Nothobranchius furzeri: one gene and its partners. The protein of the gene in region 1 binds, or shares a complex with, the protein of each later gene. Links are inferred from orthologs where the notes say so. Each region holds a gene or a part of one and is shown on either strand. Other genes may lie near its edges.

Region 1 (4,319 bases):
CATCTGAGAAGTCATTCTAATGAAAAACAAACATGTCTCACCCTGGACACATCTTTTCTCCTTTCTTCTCATGCAGCAAAGCGCAGTCGTAACAGAAAACATGTTTGCATGGGATCTGAGGAGAGGGAGAGTCTCAGTCCAGAAAATGATTCAAAACCAACCAAAGGGAGCAAGCAAGAACAAAGTACATACCATCCGTCCATACAGCTGAATAGGGAGGCCACATTTGTCACAGAAATGAATTGGTACTTCATCCCGTTCACCAATTAAATGTAACTGTAGGGAAAGCAAATGGGTGGAATTATGGGTATCTGTCACTCAGACATACTCAAATCCAGTCACAAAGCTTTTATAGTCAAAGCAAAACAACAGTGTACACTAACCCAAGGTCAATGGACAGCTTTATTATATATATATATATATATATATATATATATATATATATATATATATATATATATATATAAAACAGAAAGTCACTATAATAAGATGATGTCAGCAAACCCACACTGACGTACCTTATAGTCCCAAAATAGGGGTTGTGGAAATCTCCGCTGGCTTGCAAACACATCGCCAGCTTTGGTGCCACAATCAAACCTTTCCTCTTGCTTAAAGTTGAATTTATCTACAAAATATGAGAAAATAAGTATTATTGTAAAACTGAAAAGAGAAAGTCAATAAAACCCTGATTAATAAAAGCAGATTTTGTTGTTTAGAACTCAATTAGTCAACTGATAGAGCTGGGGCAAAATGTTTCAGATTGAAATTTTCAAATTGCAGTATTGTGGGATTGTGTAAGTGTGCAGTACTCGATGTTTAAGGAATGTGCTATGTGTATTATGTACAATGCATAATCAAAGGTCATCTGTTAAGAGTAGTATGTAATGTGGAGATTAGTATGGTTCTGTGTAGTTTTTCCTTTTTTCAGTTATACTAACCGAAGTGCAACTTTTTTGACCTAATGACAAATTTCCCAATTGAGACAATAAAGTATATTCTAATGAATAATGGTTAATTCTATAAGTTAATATACAGCAAAATCTGTCTCACCCTCAGAAGAAGGGTTTTGGTCAGGTTCAACAAAACAATGTTTATGATTACTAACTGAGGTGTATAAATCAGTTTATTTTAAAAGCATCTGTCTAAATAGTTATTTTTAAGGCTCTGCATTGGAGCAAATGACTGATTAGTGGATTCTGCTGGGAGCACAGTCCAGCCAGAATTGTGCAGTTCCTGCAGCACAGAATCAACATGAACCATAAAAAGATTCAACCTCCAAATTAAAATTCTACAGAAAATGTTGTGACTATAACCCCGATCAGTTTACTTTTTAAAAGTTTAAAGAGCAAGTCACCCCCTACCAGAGTATTACTCCACTCCCACTTCTGATTTGAAAAATGCAACAAATGTTGTTGCCTAGCAGACTGAGAGGGCGGAGCTGCTAACAAATACACACACACACACACACACACACACACACACACACACACACACACACACACACACACACACGCTCACAACGACATTGTGACATCATATGGTACCAGCTAACGTTGTAGGATACCTCTTAGCCAATAGCGATGGCAGATTTAAATTCAAATGCAGTGCAGAGTTTTTACCTGACAACGGCACAACACTGACAGTTTTAGTCAGAAAATTAAAATTTTAACTAAAATGCACTAAAGTGCCAAACTATTGACTACACATGTCTGCAGCACAATTTATATAGTTTATCACACAAAAAGGTTGATTTGGGGGTGACTTGCTTTTTAATGTGCTCGGTAGCGTACCATCTTCCCCAGGTTCACTTTTGCAGGGCCTGGTGCCAGGCCTCTGCATCCGCTGCTGGGGCTTATTCCTCAAGGGCTGCTTGGAAATGAGCTTGATGGGGATTCGTCTGCGAACATCCAGTCCACCCAAACTTCCCGAACCATCGCTCCCTTGAAGATCACCGTCTGTACACACCGAATGCACAACCCAAAAAATAAAAACAAAAAACTGATAGCATCACACCATTAAGCACAATTATATTACATCTGCGTTCCAAAAGTTATGTAAATCTTTATTTGAAATGTACCCGACTGATGAGTTAAATAAGCAAACGTTTCTGTTCTTGTTCAAACTACTTTTTGGCGTGTTAATGTTTGGCATTTCTGCCTGCTGATGTGTCGGAACACTTTCCCTCATGTAATCAAAGTATAAATCTAACGGTTTGAAGAATAATGCTTATTATCTGTGACGTAAGTTTATCAAGAAAGTGTTTTTTATGGTAAAGAAAGGAGAAAATTCTCAAAACGAAGGCACATAAAAGGCGACAGATTGAAACGTTGACATATTTAAGAAATATTCCGAAAGAACACCAGGCTATTTTTATCCAACCGAAATTCAGTTTACCCTGATCTTTACTTGTGAGAATACTAAACACAAAGAAGGTCTCGGACATCAATAAATAATCTGAGGACGAGCAACAAAAACGAAGTTACAAACCGTTAGCCAAAGAATTAGCTAAGCGCTAAAACAGGGTAAGGTAGGCTGTACAACGCTATCGCTGGATTTACACCTAAAATCAAACTAATCACATTCGGCACAGGAACCGAACACACCTCCAGTTAACGTTACAACTAACTATTCCAACTGACTTAGAACTTAAGGGTTAAATGGTGAACTGACGTCCTTTAGCACAAATCCACAGCTAACCTAAACCGTAACGGAGCATTTCAGAGGCACCAAGCTCCAACAGCAAAGCCGGATTCCTGGAAGGTTGTTCGTAATAATTTAAAGAACTACTAGAGCAGCAACTCTGGCGGCAAAACGAAAAAATAAGCCACAAAAACAAACTTTGACAACAGAGGGCCTACTTAGCGTTTAGCTCACCACTTTGGTCCATGATCCAACCGGATCCAACGAGTGAGCGCAATGCATTGTGGGTGGCCGGGGGGGGGGGGGGGGTCCCTTGAATTCTGTAAAGATGATATTTATAAACATACAATATTAAGTAATTCGTTCATTAAAATAAAACCACTTTTCTGATCTTTGTAGTATAAACTGAGCAGTTAACTTCGCATGCATAAATAAAAAAAAACTAACACTCTGTAAAAGTGTCAAAATTGTTGCACTTCTAAATGAAGTAAATGCATTTTAAACTTTTCAGAACAGCATTTAAGCTAGTAGTCTAATATTTTGGTATTGGCATTTTTAATTTAATCAGATTATATGCATCTTCATTCATATCACCTTTAATTTCAAGTTAAACTGGTGTTTTTAAAATCTCTTATTTCTGACATATATCGCATAACGTCTCGATAATTTTGACTTCATGTGTTTGTTGCGTTACTGCATAATGAGTTTGTCTCATAATTTAGATCTTGTTTTAATTTGAGCGTCGTTTTGTCGCATACATTTGCACAATTCCCACAAGCGCTGTTAATGTACCATTTTTAAAAGTAAGAGACAATTAAACGAGTCAGAAATTACATAATTTACAATTAAGATGCTTGAACCCCATGTGAGTGAGCTCTGATGTTTTGCGAAGCAGTGAAGCTGATGCTCGTCCCCGTGTGCCGCGCGCTCTCATCGTACAATGTCGCCATTTTGATTCGAAATTTATGACTGAGTTTTTCTTGCTTTGCATGTTAAACTTAGCCCCGCGTTTGAATTACTTAATGCGTGAGTACAAACCATGCCCTGTCTATCAGAAAGGACACGTATCGCTTTTTATTTTTAGAGGAAATTAACGTATGGACCTTGCGTATTTAACAGTTTTGCAGCCACATCTGACTAACGTTAGCGAAGTTGAGCTAGCTTACGTTAGCCCGTGCTTCTTCAAAACAAATCACTCACAGGCTAACGGATGTTAGCTAAGCTACCACGGCAAGCTACGTTAGCTACATCGACCTAATAGCTGGCTCTTGACTATAAAACCCACAAATATCCAACAGAAAAGGAAGCAACAGCGGCGGACTTTCCATCAAAGGTTAGTTTTTGTCTTAAAATAATCAGTCTTTTTAAGCAACTTGCACATTTTAACTCTACTGTTCCAACGACGAAGTTATACCTAAGTTAGTGACCTGTTCAAGTTTGCTTTTGGCTCTACACTAGTCAACTGTCGTCAGCTAATTAGCTCTAATGCTAATAAGAAGAAGGGAGGAACTAGTTTACATTTGCTAAATTATTACTGAGTTTACAGTTGAACATCTGTGGTCGAGTTCTCCCAAGAAGTGAATGTTAGCCAAATGGGTTTGTTTGCACAATTGTTTAGGTCTAAAGATTACTCGACGCCAGTGTTACCTAACGTAGTAGCTACATTGACTTCACTAAAT
Region 2 (4,130 bases), on another chromosome or scaffold:
GGGTTGCGGCAGTGGTTGTGTTCTCCTATCCCCCTGCTCGGATAGCGCTCACGGAACCCGGCCACCTCGGTCCAGTTCATACACCGGCTGCCGGACTCGGTGACATCAATAGCTCCCCGGTAGGAGCCGTCTCTCCCCTGGCTCCGGGCGCATTCGGTGGACGAGGGGATGAATGAAGGGACGCTGCTGGAAAAACAGCCGCTTGCGGTCAGAAGAGCGGCTACTGAAGCGAGAAACGTCGCCTTCATGTTCTGCGACCGTGAGCCGCTGATAACGGTGGCAATCCGTTTCACTCATCAGCTGTTTCCAGACATGCAGGCAGCCCCGGCGCTTTTCCCCGGGAGGGGAGAGAACCGAGAAGAAAAACGACGCAGATCGATGAAACTCTTTTTGCGTAGGCTGATGCGCTGGCAGCCCTTCCGAGAGGAGGAAACCAAATTACTGATTGATCCAAGATCCAGCCAAATGTCACGAACTAAAACGAACTCTACGCGGAGCCGTAATAAATATAACAAAAATTCCCCTAAACCAATTTAATATATGTGTTGGCTAATTACATTTTAGATAGACTATATTTCCCATTTCCCCTCAGTCAGGTTAGGAAATTTTGCTTTGAGAAAAAACGTTTGAAATGTTTTTGCACTGCTGTTAAAATGCTAAAAGGAGAAATTAAATTAAAATTAGGCTATTAGTTATCTGTATTGTTATTGTTGTTATTTAATCATTATATGCTTACTGCTAAAATTATTTCAATGCTATATTTTTATGTAGTACGGCTACAAAGCTGTGAATTTGCTTCTTGCACTAATTTCATTGTCCGTAAGCTTTTAAAGCTACTCGACTATTGATACTGTATTTAAATGCCAATAACACATTCCCTTCTTTTTATTGTGGTATCATGAGCTGTGAGAGAACGGGAAACAGTCGAATATAGCTGTTTGTTGGATTGCCTTTTCCAACTGTTCTCTGTGATTGGGTGATAAATTTGCTGACGCCAAACGTATGCGTCGGACAAGGCTCTTTCATCATCATCGAGTGACTGTAGGTTCAAATGCTTGTTAAATCTTGTAAACAGCGTACACCGAACCTTCTCTGGGTAACCGGAGTTATAGCCCTCAAATCGGTTTATTTAATTTTCTTTGTAGAATTTTATACATGTCTTCAAATTACACGTTATTTGAGTGTTTTATATGTAAACTTTGCAGTTTCAATGCATCGCCCTATATTTGTTAAAGACACACATCTACTGTGATTACTTGTACCGGTGTTCATAACGAGCGCACCCATCATCATTTCAGCGGCTATGTCGATTTAGCTAATGTTTAGCTAGGAGCTTGCTGCTTTCAGAAGTGAACGTAATCCGTATTTAGCAACGACCCGACGTTTAATATAAATACAGATCTACTGTCACAGAGGAGAACATGAACAGTAGGCTTCAAGAAATCCGCGAGAAACAAAAACTGAGACGGCAGATCTTGGCTCAACAGGCAAGTACACCATAGTTAACAGTTAGAAAGTGGCTAACCGCTAACGTCGCTTTGGTCATAACGGAGCTGCAGGGTGCTAAATGCTCACCATAACTTCACCGTCCCTAACTTGGCTGATGTATTAAATACTCGCCTTCCACCGAGCTAAAAGAAAACACCTTCATAGCAAATGTAAATAAGTGTAACCCAAGCTAGAGCCGACTTTATTTGTCGAATGAAATGTAGCAGCAATGCAAAAAAGGCGTTCACAAAGTTCCAGTCAAATGTTTGCTGATGTTGGTTTCTCTGTGTGTGTTTCTCTAAATGCGCAGCTGGGAGCTGAGAGCGCAGACAGTATCGGGGCTGTCCTTCACAGCAAAGATGAGCTCAAAGAGATAGAGGAGACAAGAGAAGCAAGCAGGTAAGGGTTGTTCCTCCTCACAGACAGGGCGGGATCGTCTGAGCTAGAAAAGGGCTGCGTTTGAATGAAATACGTAAATGCAACGTGTTTGCAGGCGCGTTGCAAACTTTTCAAAAGTGTGGGGGATGTTGTCTGTGGATGTCATCAGTTGTAAATTGAAACTCAACCTCAATCCAGTAAGGAGTTCGCGCATGATTCACAGTAACATAGTCCTTCCAAAAACATGCTTAATATTCACCAATGTATAAACTGCACACATGCAGAACGGGAAGAACTAATCTTCCAAACAACAGAACCCAAGTTTTCTTCATCAACAACACCCAATTCAACAATAAGCTGTTAAATCAAAAGGACGTAAAAATACACTAAATACACATTTAGAGAAAAACACACAGCAGCGACAATCCAATATCCTATCCACAGAATCCACTGTTTAAATTAAAGCCCAGACTTCTCTTTCCAACAATATTTATGCACTCTACATGCAAAATTCACAGAACCAGCAGCTAACAAACCACAGCTCATTTCATGACGTGAAAAGCGTAAATACAGTCTTACCTTTGTTGATTCATGGTCATAATCCATGTTATGGTAAAAACAATCCAATCCCTTTGTGTAATCCATCTTCACAACATCACACAAAGCTGATTCGTGGCTGTTTTAGCTTGCATCCATCTGATGCCAAATCCCAAAAATCTAGCCTAAAAAATCAAAAGCAAGCGATTCTATTGGCTCAGAGGTTTCCTAACTAACCTGAACGGCTTCAATAATCCAACGGCGGGGTCTGGAGAAACTCCTGAATAAACTGTGGTTCCAGCCCAGTCCACCAGCGCACAGGTGTACTCGGGTAGAGGCGGGGAGGTTTCGACAAACTTTATTTGTCACTGAATGTTAATAAAGCTGATTTTAAAGTTGGACCAAAAAAAAAACCTATTCCGTAGAAGGAGCGTTCAACTATTCCTTTTACAAGTGGCACACTGTGGCATTTGAGACCTCGCTTTAAGTGTGCATATATTATAAACCTCTGAAAATTGTTGTTCTTCACTTTATCAAACTCAGACTTTGTACAGCTAATGTCAAGATGTAAAATTATGAATTCAGTGAAATTTAAAACTACTGATGCATTTTTCAAAAGAGGTATTCATCCTGAAATCAAACATTTCGGGCAAAATAAGCAAAAGAAAAATAATCAACTTTTTTACAATGTTCCTTGTCTATTTACACTTCATCAGCAACACTTATTCTAATATTCACACATCTGAACAAATCCCACAAGAATTCCTTTTATAATGAGACCAAAAGTAATGAAAAAGACCTTGTGGTTACAGGAATATAGCCATTAAAGTGTGGGCATGTTATTTGTTTTTATTTCAACAATGCCATCAAATGGTTTGTGTTACATTGACTTACTGTTTTATAAGAACATATTATGAATGTAACATTAAACACAGTAGTCAAAAGTAGAGAATGGTGGTGGTGATTATGAATATCAGGACACTAATAAACAATATTACAAGACATTAAAAGTCAAATCAGTAACACTTTAGGAAACACAACTTAATCATTAACCAGGGGTTAACTAACATGCAAATGATACAGTCTGATTTATGAATTACTAATGATAACAAATTTGTGAATGACCTGAGTACATTACACATGTCCAAAAATTAAAACTTATTGTGTTATTTCCTCCAGTTTGAACCATAAAATTAGATACAGCTCAAGGTATGACCTATAAAGTACATTCTTTGGATTCAAAACCAAAACAACAGGGGAGGTAAGATTCAGCAAATACTTCGCAGAAGTGAAAACCTGCTTCATATGAACTGTGGTAACTGAGTAGGTGAGATAAAACTGTATTATTTTTAAAAAGCATCTCCACAGCTGTAATCATCACACTGGATGAATCCAAAAGCAAGACATCCAACACTTAACAGCAATTCAAGCTATTTTCAAGAACAATCTGTGTAACATCTTTGAGCTAGACCAGCGGTTCCCAAACTTATTTAGCTGCGCACCCCCCAGCCCCCCACATCCATCTTTTCCCCTATAGACATTTGATTATGCACAAGTAGGTGACCAGTTCAGGTTTACGCAGAGCAGAAGGAAGGAGAGCGCTCTGGCCACAGGTTAAACGTTCCTACTTTAAGAAAACCATTAAATTGCATTGTTGATGTGCTACCTGGGTACTCTAAATATTTATTTAAAATGAAATCAAAGGAAATTGTAATGGTATTGAATGT
Region 3 (4,305 bases), on another chromosome or scaffold:
TTAAAATCCTCCTCCTTCTCCCGCCAACCCCACCGGCTCACAGGGAGAAGCGGAGTGACGTGTGTAGTGTGGCTGGAATCCAGAATCCTAAAAGGTTTCAAACCAGGAAGTGTTGGTTCTGTACATCAGTTAGTGTCGTTAACGATCACGATCACCATGTGCTCCTCCTCCAGATTACCCACAGTCCTCTTGGCTGTCTGCAGAAACTGCTGAGAGAACTCTCCTGGGGGGAAGGCATAGAGCATGGCGCCCGGCCCACCCTCCTTGGCACTGGGCAGGCTCACCACACCGGCCGCCTCTTTGTTCCGCAGGTACGTCACCAGGTGGCGCAGCAGGCGCACCTGCAATCCTGGCTCCAGACCCGGGGTCTGGCGGTCCACAGGGCCCTGCAGAGCCAGCAGGATGGCAAAGCCATTGGGGCGGCCCACCTTGATGCGGCGCGAAACCTCGTCGAGCCGGGCCTGGTCCATGCGCAGCCGCTGAGCGATCTTTAACTGGCTCAGCTGATTCTTGCTCGGCTGCTTCAGGCTGTCCTTCATCACAGTGTTGAAGAAGGACACGCCCCCCTCCAGCAGGAACAGGTCTGTAGGAAAGCTGCTGTTCTTCAGGGTGAACAAGCCTCTCCACATCCTGGAGAGCATGCTCTGGGCAAACTCCAACAGCGTGCCGGGGGGTGAGGAGGCGTCTGTGTGGGCTGCAGGAGAAGCCGAGGCATTGGCCTCACTGTTCCGATGGTGGTGGTTGTTCAGCTGTTCGCTGGAGGCCCTCTTGCTGTGATGGTGGCTGGAGGGAGGCTCTTCTTCGTTGGTGGACTGCCTTCCAGCTCCTCCGTTGTCAGGGGAATGGTCTCGGGGTTCTGTGGTGGAGTCGGGAGCTCGGACCCGAGCTCGGTCCGGACTCGCTTCAGGAGAGACGGCTCCACCAACACCACGAACCCTTGACCTCCCCACCTCCTTCTCCTCCGTCTGCCTTTCTGCTGACAGACTACTGCTCCTCCTCCTGTTCCTCCTCTCCTCCCTCTCCTTCAGCCAACGTTCCCTGCTCTTGCTACGACTCCTTGCTGCTCTCCCACTCCTCCCAAACGCCTCCACCCCTCCGGACCTCCTCTCCAAGCTGCGGGTGGGGCTGCTGGGAAAGTCTCTCTCCAGCAGGGCCCTCTCCCTCAGGGAGAGCAGGCTGTGAGCAGGGGGAGAACGCTCCCTGGCCCCCCGTAGCTCCTGTTCAAGGCTGCGATGGCGGCTGTATGCCTCTCCAAGAAGGTCATAGTGGGAAGGGAGTGTAACGGGCGTCTGGTAACCAGGAGGAAATGGGCGCGACGGGCTCTCCTCCACCTTAGCAAAGTCCACCCTGAGCCGGTGCTCTGGGCCCCCCAGAGGGAAGCCCCTCATCTGGGTGCAGGCGGCCTGAGCTGCATCCAGACTCTCGTACTGGATGTAGGCAAAGCTGTCCCCCTTCACGTAGTCAATGTTCCGTATGCTGCCAAAGCGATCAAACTCTCGAGCCAGGGCAGCCAGTGGGTTCCCGGGCCCCAGCCCCCCCACCCAGAGGCGGGTGGTGGGGTTGGCTTTGCCGTAACCGATCTTTATGGGGTTCCCACCCATCAGCCGGCCCTGCATGGCCACTTTGGCACGGTGGGCCATGTCCAGGTTCTGAAACTTCACAAACGCATAAGCCCCGCCCTGTCCACGTGCCGGGCGTTTGATCACCACTTCCTCAATGATGCCATATTTATCAAACCCCCTCCGGAGCTCAGCTTCCGTCACGTTCCCATCCAGGTTACCGATGAACAGGTTACTGGTCGCCCGCTGGTCATCCTCCGGCTTCAAGTCCTCCACCACTGGCATGGGGGGCAGGCCGTAGGGCCGCCCCCTCTCATCCAGCATCCCATAGTAGTCCAGCAGCCGGTCCCGGTCTCTGCTCAGACCCAGGGTCTCCAGGGCGTAGTGTCTGGCTCTCAGTTCCCGGAGGTTGCTGACCCCGGGGACAGGGGGGGACAGGGAGCGCTGCCTGTACGGATAGGGGGCGTGGAGGGGTAAATAACCCACGTCCGGTGGGGTGACACTCCGCCTCCGTACGTACATGGGCTCTATCTTCAGCTGGCGCTCTCCCAGAACCAACCTGGAGGATTTGGCGTGCCTGGCCTCCTTGGCATCCTCCGGGTGTCTGAAGTTAACGTAGGCGATCCGGCCAAGCTCCGGTGTGTGCGACAGCTTCACGCTCACATCCCCGAACTTTTTAAATTCGTGAAACAGCGAGTCCTCCACGTCCTCGTCCGACACCTGCGAGCCCAGGTTACTGATGAGCAGCGTTTTATACTCCAGCGTGCCCGGCCGGGGGGCGGGGAGCTCTGCTGCCGAGGTGCGGAGCGGTGGACGGCCGAGGAGGCTGAGCTCATGTCGGTGGTGGAGCTCCAGGGCGGCCGCCCTCTCCTCCCTGAGCCGCGGCTTCTCGCGTTCCCGGCTCCGGCGGCGGTAGCTCCTGCTCTCCGCCAGTAAAAGCGCCAGCGGCGGCGGGGGCAGCTCCTCTCTGCGGCTGCTCTCCCGCTCCCGTGTCCGTTTAGCGATGGCCCTGGACGGACTGCTCTCCCTGCCGGCCTGCCGCTTCATTTTCTCTGGAGGACGGATCGGAAACTTTTCGGTGTCCGCAGCGGGATTCCGGGAGCGTTAGCGGGAGCGAGGCTACGGAGGACGGGCTCAGGGGGAAACGCGGTTCCACGGCATCCGCTGACGTTCGGCTCATTTACGGATAAAAACCAGAAAAGGTTTAAAAACAAAAACTGCATCAGTGGAGCTTCAGCAGCGCCGCCATCTTGGACAATAGGAATGTGCGCGTTCCCCGAGGACGGAGAACTCGATGACGCAAGCACGTCGCGCGTTACCGTCGCTTCACGTTTAAATCTTTATTTGTTTACATAAATAAGTTTATTATTGAAATGATGGAGAATATGCCCACATCATTTAGTCCTGATCTAGAATCCAGAAGTCCCAATCCAGCGCAAATCTCTTGTTAAATTGGTTTAGATGGAATATTCCTGGGACCAAAACATTTCCAGAGACGTTTTTTTTAACTCTGACCTCTTAACAGTAGAAAAATGTTCCTAACTCAAGGGATGAGACAGAGTGGTGGTATCACCCACAGGACGTTAGGCGGCGTTCTTTTGGTTTAAAGGAATTTCTCAGAGAAGGAAAATATTTTTGCCACAAAATGAATTAGACGTAGATGGATTAATTCAGATTAACAATGGATTTGTGAGATTGATGTGGTCATCATGCCTCTGAGGTTTATTACTGAGGACCACTCCAGTGTCCAGTGGGACAGTCTTCTTTATCCACCAGGAGGTTGGAACATTGGTACACCTTCATTTATAAAGCAATGCTTGGATTACTACCCACCTACATCTGTAACTTAATCTCAAGAAGTGTAAGTCCTCAGTCTGGAAGAAGACGATCAGCTGTTACTTTGTGTTCTGTTTGCTCGCACCAATCTGGGCTAAAGGTCTTTTGTTCACTCTGCTCCTTCTGCATGGAACAGGCTGCAGGAAAACTGGGAATTAGTTTTTTTTCTCCTTGACTACATTTAAAACCAGACTGAGAACCCTTGAGAGGATTCTGTGTTGTAACTGCCTTCTGTAATCTAGTGCATAACATGTCTGTGGAGCTGAAACAACTTCTGCTGCCTCTGGGCCAGGACTGCCTTGGAAATGAGGTTTTTCATCTCAATGGGACCTTCCTGGTTAGATGAAGAATAAATCTGTTACTAACATCTAGATTTGGTCTAAAAAGATGTTCTGAGGAAATCCAAAGTTAATCTTGGATTAAGATTGGATGGAATTCTAGATTTCTCCTCTTCTGGGCAGAATGACAGGAAGGACCAGGGATCAGGTCTGAGCCGGACCTCCAGCCTCTCGGGACGATCCATACAAGCACCAGGGTTCTGGGCAAAGCTCGGTTCTCACAGAGGTGTACCCGAAATCCATCTACTGTTCCAAACCAATCCTAAACTTTCTAATCTGTCGGTGAATGCAGTGTCCTAACAAATAAAACCACTAACAGTTAATCCACATTAGCCAATCCCCATGAGGATCAGGGTTTCATCCTAGATCGGTATCGGCCCGGAGTCAAACCAACCCAAACAAACATCTCAGTTGAGTTTTCACATTTTAATGCAAAAGTAGAATTTACAGTTTTAACAGAAACACAAGTCCCACATTCATGATGGTGTTTGATCCATCAGACGGATGAGGAGTCCCTCAGAAACACGACTCTGTATTTTATCGCCTGTTGGCGAAGCTGCTACAGGACTCAG
Region 4 (4,345 bases), on another chromosome or scaffold:
TAACATTGAGGTTATTGACATAGGTAGCATGATGTTTGCTGTGGTGCAGCTGCATTATCTCTGCACAGATGTGAGGCTCCAGGGCTCCATAATCATAGGTCAGGTCAGGAAGGGTGTGCTTCTGCCTTGATGCAGCTATCTGGTTAATGCTTTGGCTGAGGCTGGCTGCGCACCTGAAATTAACAAAGAGGAGAATTGTAATAAATCACGATCCAATTGTGCATCAATCACCGGATACAACTAAACAGCAATTCAAGATGGCTGCAAGCGACTGACTTTAGTGTTTATTCAGGATTTACACAGCCGAAACCATTAACTAAATGTACTTTTAACATAGGCTCGTGTGTAATTTTGTGCATTCGTTTTGACACTTTAAGTTTGCAACTGCATTCAACCCTAGGCATAAAATAATGACGGAAGTAATCTAAACTATTTGGTGCGCCATAAACTAATGTAAACAGCTTGCTAAACTAAGTTAGCATCCTGGCTAGCAAACTGTTAGCTCCTGATGTTTGAAGATCATACTCGATTACAGCACGCAACAGCTCACTCTGCCTGTTTTCAACAACTTTATATATGCCCTAATGTTACGCGAACATCCGTTTTACCTGCGTATTTGCCCAAGTCTGCTCAGCATGTTTCGAATGGACCTCAGCAGGTAACCAGAACCGTGTGCACGCGCTAGTAAATAACTGCCCTTGAAACTGAGCCATTTCAAGTTGACAGACTGCACCATCATTATTATACGATGGGGGTGTTTGGAAGCGTTTGCATGATTTCTGTAATGTTGCGGACGCTGAAAGTTGGACTTCGTCGAAACATTGGTTTGCCGTGTTTGTCAATAAACCTTTAACTTGTGGCATTTTTTATGAGTAACCATGTCATTTTGTTTTTGAAATGCGTTTCCCTATTACGCTGCACATGGTCTTCAGGGCCTTAGCTCGTTATTTTTCTTTTTATTATAAATTAGTAAACAAGTGTAAGACTTGGATTTGTGTCGTCAAAATGTTTAACGAAATTTTGAAACACGAGAGTAATCAAAATAAAGAAATGTTTAGAAGACCACGAGGCACGTGACCCTCTTTTTTAATCGTGACGTGAAGATTGTCTACTTTGTTAAGATGTCCCACTCTTTAGAAATGTTCTTTTTTTTTTAAAAAAAAGTCTTCATCCAATTTAATCAATGACTCAAAGCAAACATGTTTTGCCTGAACCAGTTATTTTAGAAATATGCGTTTCTGCTAGGTCACCTATATTTGAATAATTTTAACTTAATTAACAAATAACATTTTTTGTTTATTTATTTATTCTATTTAGACAGATGTTATCAATTATTTTGGTCGATTGACTCTAAAAAGTTGTACCACGCATAATCAAACATTAACTATAGTAAATTATATAAATAAAACGTTGAAAATATCCCTTGTGTCGTGGCCCTGCTCGAGTTTCAGAAATTATTTTACGAGTGAGGCGTCTTCTCTCTGTTTTTAGCTCTCTGGTATTACTCCGCAGCATTTTCGTCCGTAGCTATTCCACACTGCCGTCAGCTAAAGAAAGATGATTGCGACTAAGCCCAAACGATACCGTTACTTGTCATTTCTCTGAATATTTGACCGTTTATGTGATTGTTATCCTCACAAGGAATTTCTGAAGCCGACAGTTCTGAGAAACATCGAAGATTCAGGGCCAGGTGAGTGTTTTTGTGGCGTCAGGCCTGGTAACTGCAGCCAAGAGCCCGCTAGTTTCAGGAAAAGGAGCGCAAGGGAGGGAGTCGTTTCCTTCACCGCCATTTTGTTATAACAAGGAGCCGAAACAGAGCAAATAATTAAGTGCCACCCATTTGAATTTAAATTATATTTAAACGTTACTTTGTAACTATGAGTTCAATTTACCATTGCAAAGGAGTGCTAAATATTAGTGGTCAGTAGTTCACCTTGGTTAGCTTCTTCGCTCTGCTAGCTGCCACAATGTCCCGACATTTAGCTGTACAGCGCTTATCAACTGGTTATGTTAAATCTTATGTTATCGACCAATGAGTCAACTCTTTGCCATAAAATATGCGGTGTTCTTTCTTCAGAAACCAAAACGCACGTAATTTAGCTTGTGTGCTAGTCGTGACTAGACTGCGTGCGGAGAACTAACGCTTTAGCTGAAAAGATGATGCAGTTAATTCAACCTGCAATTTAAGCAGCAGTAACTGATGATTTCTTGTCATATTTTCTTCTAGAGTTCAAAATGACCAACGAGGAACCTCTACCCAAGAAGGTTAGCGTCTGATCCTGTTCATCTCCTATTTGAACTATGTTCATTTAGCCTTTGGTTGTCTCCAAATAGCAGCCGGCCTCATTGACCAGTTTTTCTGTTTTCACAGGTTCGCCTGAGTGAGTCGGACATGAAGACCCTGACTAGAGAAGAGCTGTGTACCAGGTGGGTGTTCACGCTGCGATTGCTGTAAAATCACGTGTTCATCTAAAAATGTTAAACCTTCTTTTCTCGTTTCAGGTGGAAACAGCATGAAACGTACGTGCAGGTCCTCGAGGCCAAATATGCAGAGCTGTGTTGTAAGTGCAGTTTCGTAAATGCAATCCAGCATCATGTTGAGTTTAGTTTATTTAGCCGTTTCAACAGTCAGCTATAAATGCTACAATGAGTGCATTGCCTAACCTTTGGCTGTCTGTGAAGAGGACTAATCTGTGATGTTTTTTCATCTCATCCCTTCAGCGAACGATGTTCCAGGACTGAAGGAGTCGGAGGAAAAGCTCAAGCAGCAGCAGCAAGAGTCTGCTCGCAGGGAGAACATCCTGGTCATGCGACTTGCCACAAAGGAGCAGGAAATGCAAGAGTGTACAGTACGTATCTGTTTGCCACTGAATTCACTGTTTTGCTTTGGTCGAATGTTGCTCCCCGTTGATCTGTAGGAAGCTCCTTGTTGGGTGATTGATTTATTTTCTCTCTGATGGATGTCGACTCTCCTTTTTGTAATACTGTATAAAAAGGCGATGTTGAATTTTACTTATCATTAGGTTAGGTCACAGAAGTCAAACGTTCACTAATGACAATAGATTAATACCAAATGTAATGTTTTATAGTGATGTTTTGAACAGATGCCTTATTTAAAATGGCAAACATCAAAATGAGTGCTAACATCTGTCAGTGTGGCAGCTGTAGTCGATGTTTTATGTATTTACACAAGATCAGAGCTTCTTAGCCATAAAACACTGCTTATAAGTGCAATATGATCTTTGATTGAGATTAAAATACTAATAGAAGTAAATGTTGCATGGTGTCATTTACACATACATGATATTTTTCTAAGTTTGTGACGTAAAAGGATCTTAAAACAAGCAGCAGCATTTGCAGAGCAGCAGCTGTTATAAACAAACGTGCTGTTTTCTGTCAACAGAACCGGTCGTAAACAGGGATACTGTTATGGCCATTCACATTCATTCACACTGGGCCAACAAGTAGTTAAGGTCAGCCGTTGGCTTTAGACTGATGGTACAGAGTGTTCAGTGGCTTTATGGGGGCTCATCTGCCTTAAAGAGCAGCAGAGCTCACCTCAGCACACCTTTTCTTTCATTTAAAAGCCAAAAATAAGGATTAGGTTCAGTCAGATGCTGCTACTTTTGTTGCTTAAGCCATATTAGTTGTGCCTTTTGGCATATCGTGTAGGGCTGGGCAATAAACCGAAAATGTATCGTTATCGAAATTTCTGACTTATCGTGATAAATGTTCCCATATCAATACATTTGATAATACAAAATTGAAAAGATGTGTGTGGGTTGGCAACGTTCATGTCCCTAGCTGTACCAGGGTTTTTCCTGCATTCAAATTTGCCTGGTGGCCTCCTCCAGCTAATTTGTGCCGCCCCAGCCTGATTTCACTCTGCCCCCAGCTATATGGATGTTATTTTAACTGCAGTTGCAGCATTGCACCACTACGGGGCGCTGTATCAGCAGCGGTGCACAAAAAAGCACTAAAACCGCAGCAGACAAAGATCAAAAATTGCTTTTCTCTCTAGTTACATATCTGTGGTCGGTGCTATTGACGTCCTGATTTTCCCCCAGGCTCTTCCATATCAGAGCAGGGCTGTACAGTGCGATGAAAAACACTGTCTGCGTGTCTGTCTATTTGTAAATGTAACACGGGTGCAACATCTTTGAATTACCATTTTCCCCTGAACTTTATTGAACAAAAGTAAGTTACTTGTAAGAAAAATGCTTTTTACTGGCGCACGACGTGGTCATCTGGATGCAGTGGAGGAAAGGAACCGGCAAAGACGCAAAGGCAGAACCGGTGCAAAGTTTGGGATCAAAAGTGCAGCTACACGCAGATTGCCTAAAGC

Evidence for each region. Proteins that work in one complex are often made in the same cells at the same time.
Region 2: E3 ubiquitin-protein ligase Hakai (region 1) and mettl14 share a complex: the UniProt entries of both Homo sapiens proteins name them as parts of the WMM complex. The link is inferred for Nothobranchius furzeri from reciprocal best matches to the Homo sapiens genes CBLL1 and METTL14.
Region 3: E3 ubiquitin-protein ligase Hakai (region 1) and rbm15b share a complex: the UniProt entries of both Homo sapiens proteins name them as parts of the WMM complex. The link is inferred for Nothobranchius furzeri from reciprocal best matches to the Homo sapiens genes CBLL1 and RBM15B.
Region 4: E3 ubiquitin-protein ligase Hakai (region 1) and wtap share a complex: the UniProt entries of both Homo sapiens proteins name them as parts of the WMM complex. The link is inferred for Nothobranchius furzeri from reciprocal best matches to the Homo sapiens genes CBLL1 and WTAP.

The regions. Positions count from the first base shown.
Region 1 is NC_091741.1:57,567,292-57,571,610, forward strand, and holds the start of E3 ubiquitin-protein ligase Hakai, read right to left. Parts: upstream 2,836-4,319; 5' UTR 2,717-2,835; coding exon 2,698-2,716; intron 2,659-2,697; exon of another isoform or gene 2,488-2,658; intron 1,956-2,487; coding exon 1,767-1,955; intron 626-1,766; coding exon 519-625; intron 277-518; coding exon 193-276; intron 116-192; coding exon 42-115; intron 1-41. UniProt on the Homo sapiens protein: E3 ubiquitin-protein ligase that mediates ubiquitination of several tyrosine-phosphorylated Src substrates, including CDH1, CTTN and DOK1. Targets CDH1 for endocytosis and degradation.
Region 2 is NC_091746.1:78,155,312-78,159,441, forward strand, and holds the start of mettl14 (N(6)-adenosine-methyltransferase non-catalytic subunit METTL14), read left to right. Parts: upstream 1-1,288; 5' UTR 1,289-1,421; coding exon 1,422-1,487; intron 1,488-1,798; coding exon 1,799-1,887; intron 1,888-4,130. Other genes in the region: prss12 (neurotrypsin), read right to left, coding at 1-248. UniProt on the Homo sapiens protein: The METTL3-METTL14 heterodimer forms a N6-methyltransferase complex that methylates adenosine residues at the N(6) position of some mRNAs and regulates the circadian clock, differentiation of embryonic stem cells and cortical neurogenesis.
Region 3 is NC_091743.1:78,035,141-78,039,445, forward strand, and holds the start of rbm15b (putative RNA-binding protein 15B), read right to left. Parts: upstream 2,843-4,305; 5' UTR 2,607-2,842; coding exon 126-2,606; 3' UTR 1-125. UniProt on the Homo sapiens protein: RNA-binding protein that acts as a key regulator of N6-methyladenosine (m6A) methylation of RNAs, thereby regulating different processes, such as alternative splicing of mRNAs and X chromosome inactivation mediated by Xist RNA.
Region 4 is NC_091742.1:5,865,032-5,869,376, forward strand, and holds the start of wtap (pre-mRNA-splicing regulator WTAP), read left to right. Parts: upstream 1-1,503; 5' UTR 1,504-1,690; intron 1,691-2,227; 5' UTR 2,228-2,235; coding exon 2,236-2,265; intron 2,266-2,371; coding exon 2,372-2,427; intron 2,428-2,502; coding exon 2,503-2,561; intron 2,562-2,721; coding exon 2,722-2,849; intron 2,850-4,345. Other genes in the region: sod2 (superoxide dismutase [Mn], mitochondrial), read right to left, coding at 1-173, 609-739. UniProt on the Homo sapiens protein: Associated component of the WMM complex, a complex that mediates N6-methyladenosine (m6A) methylation of RNAs, a modification that plays a role in the efficiency of mRNA splicing and RNA processing.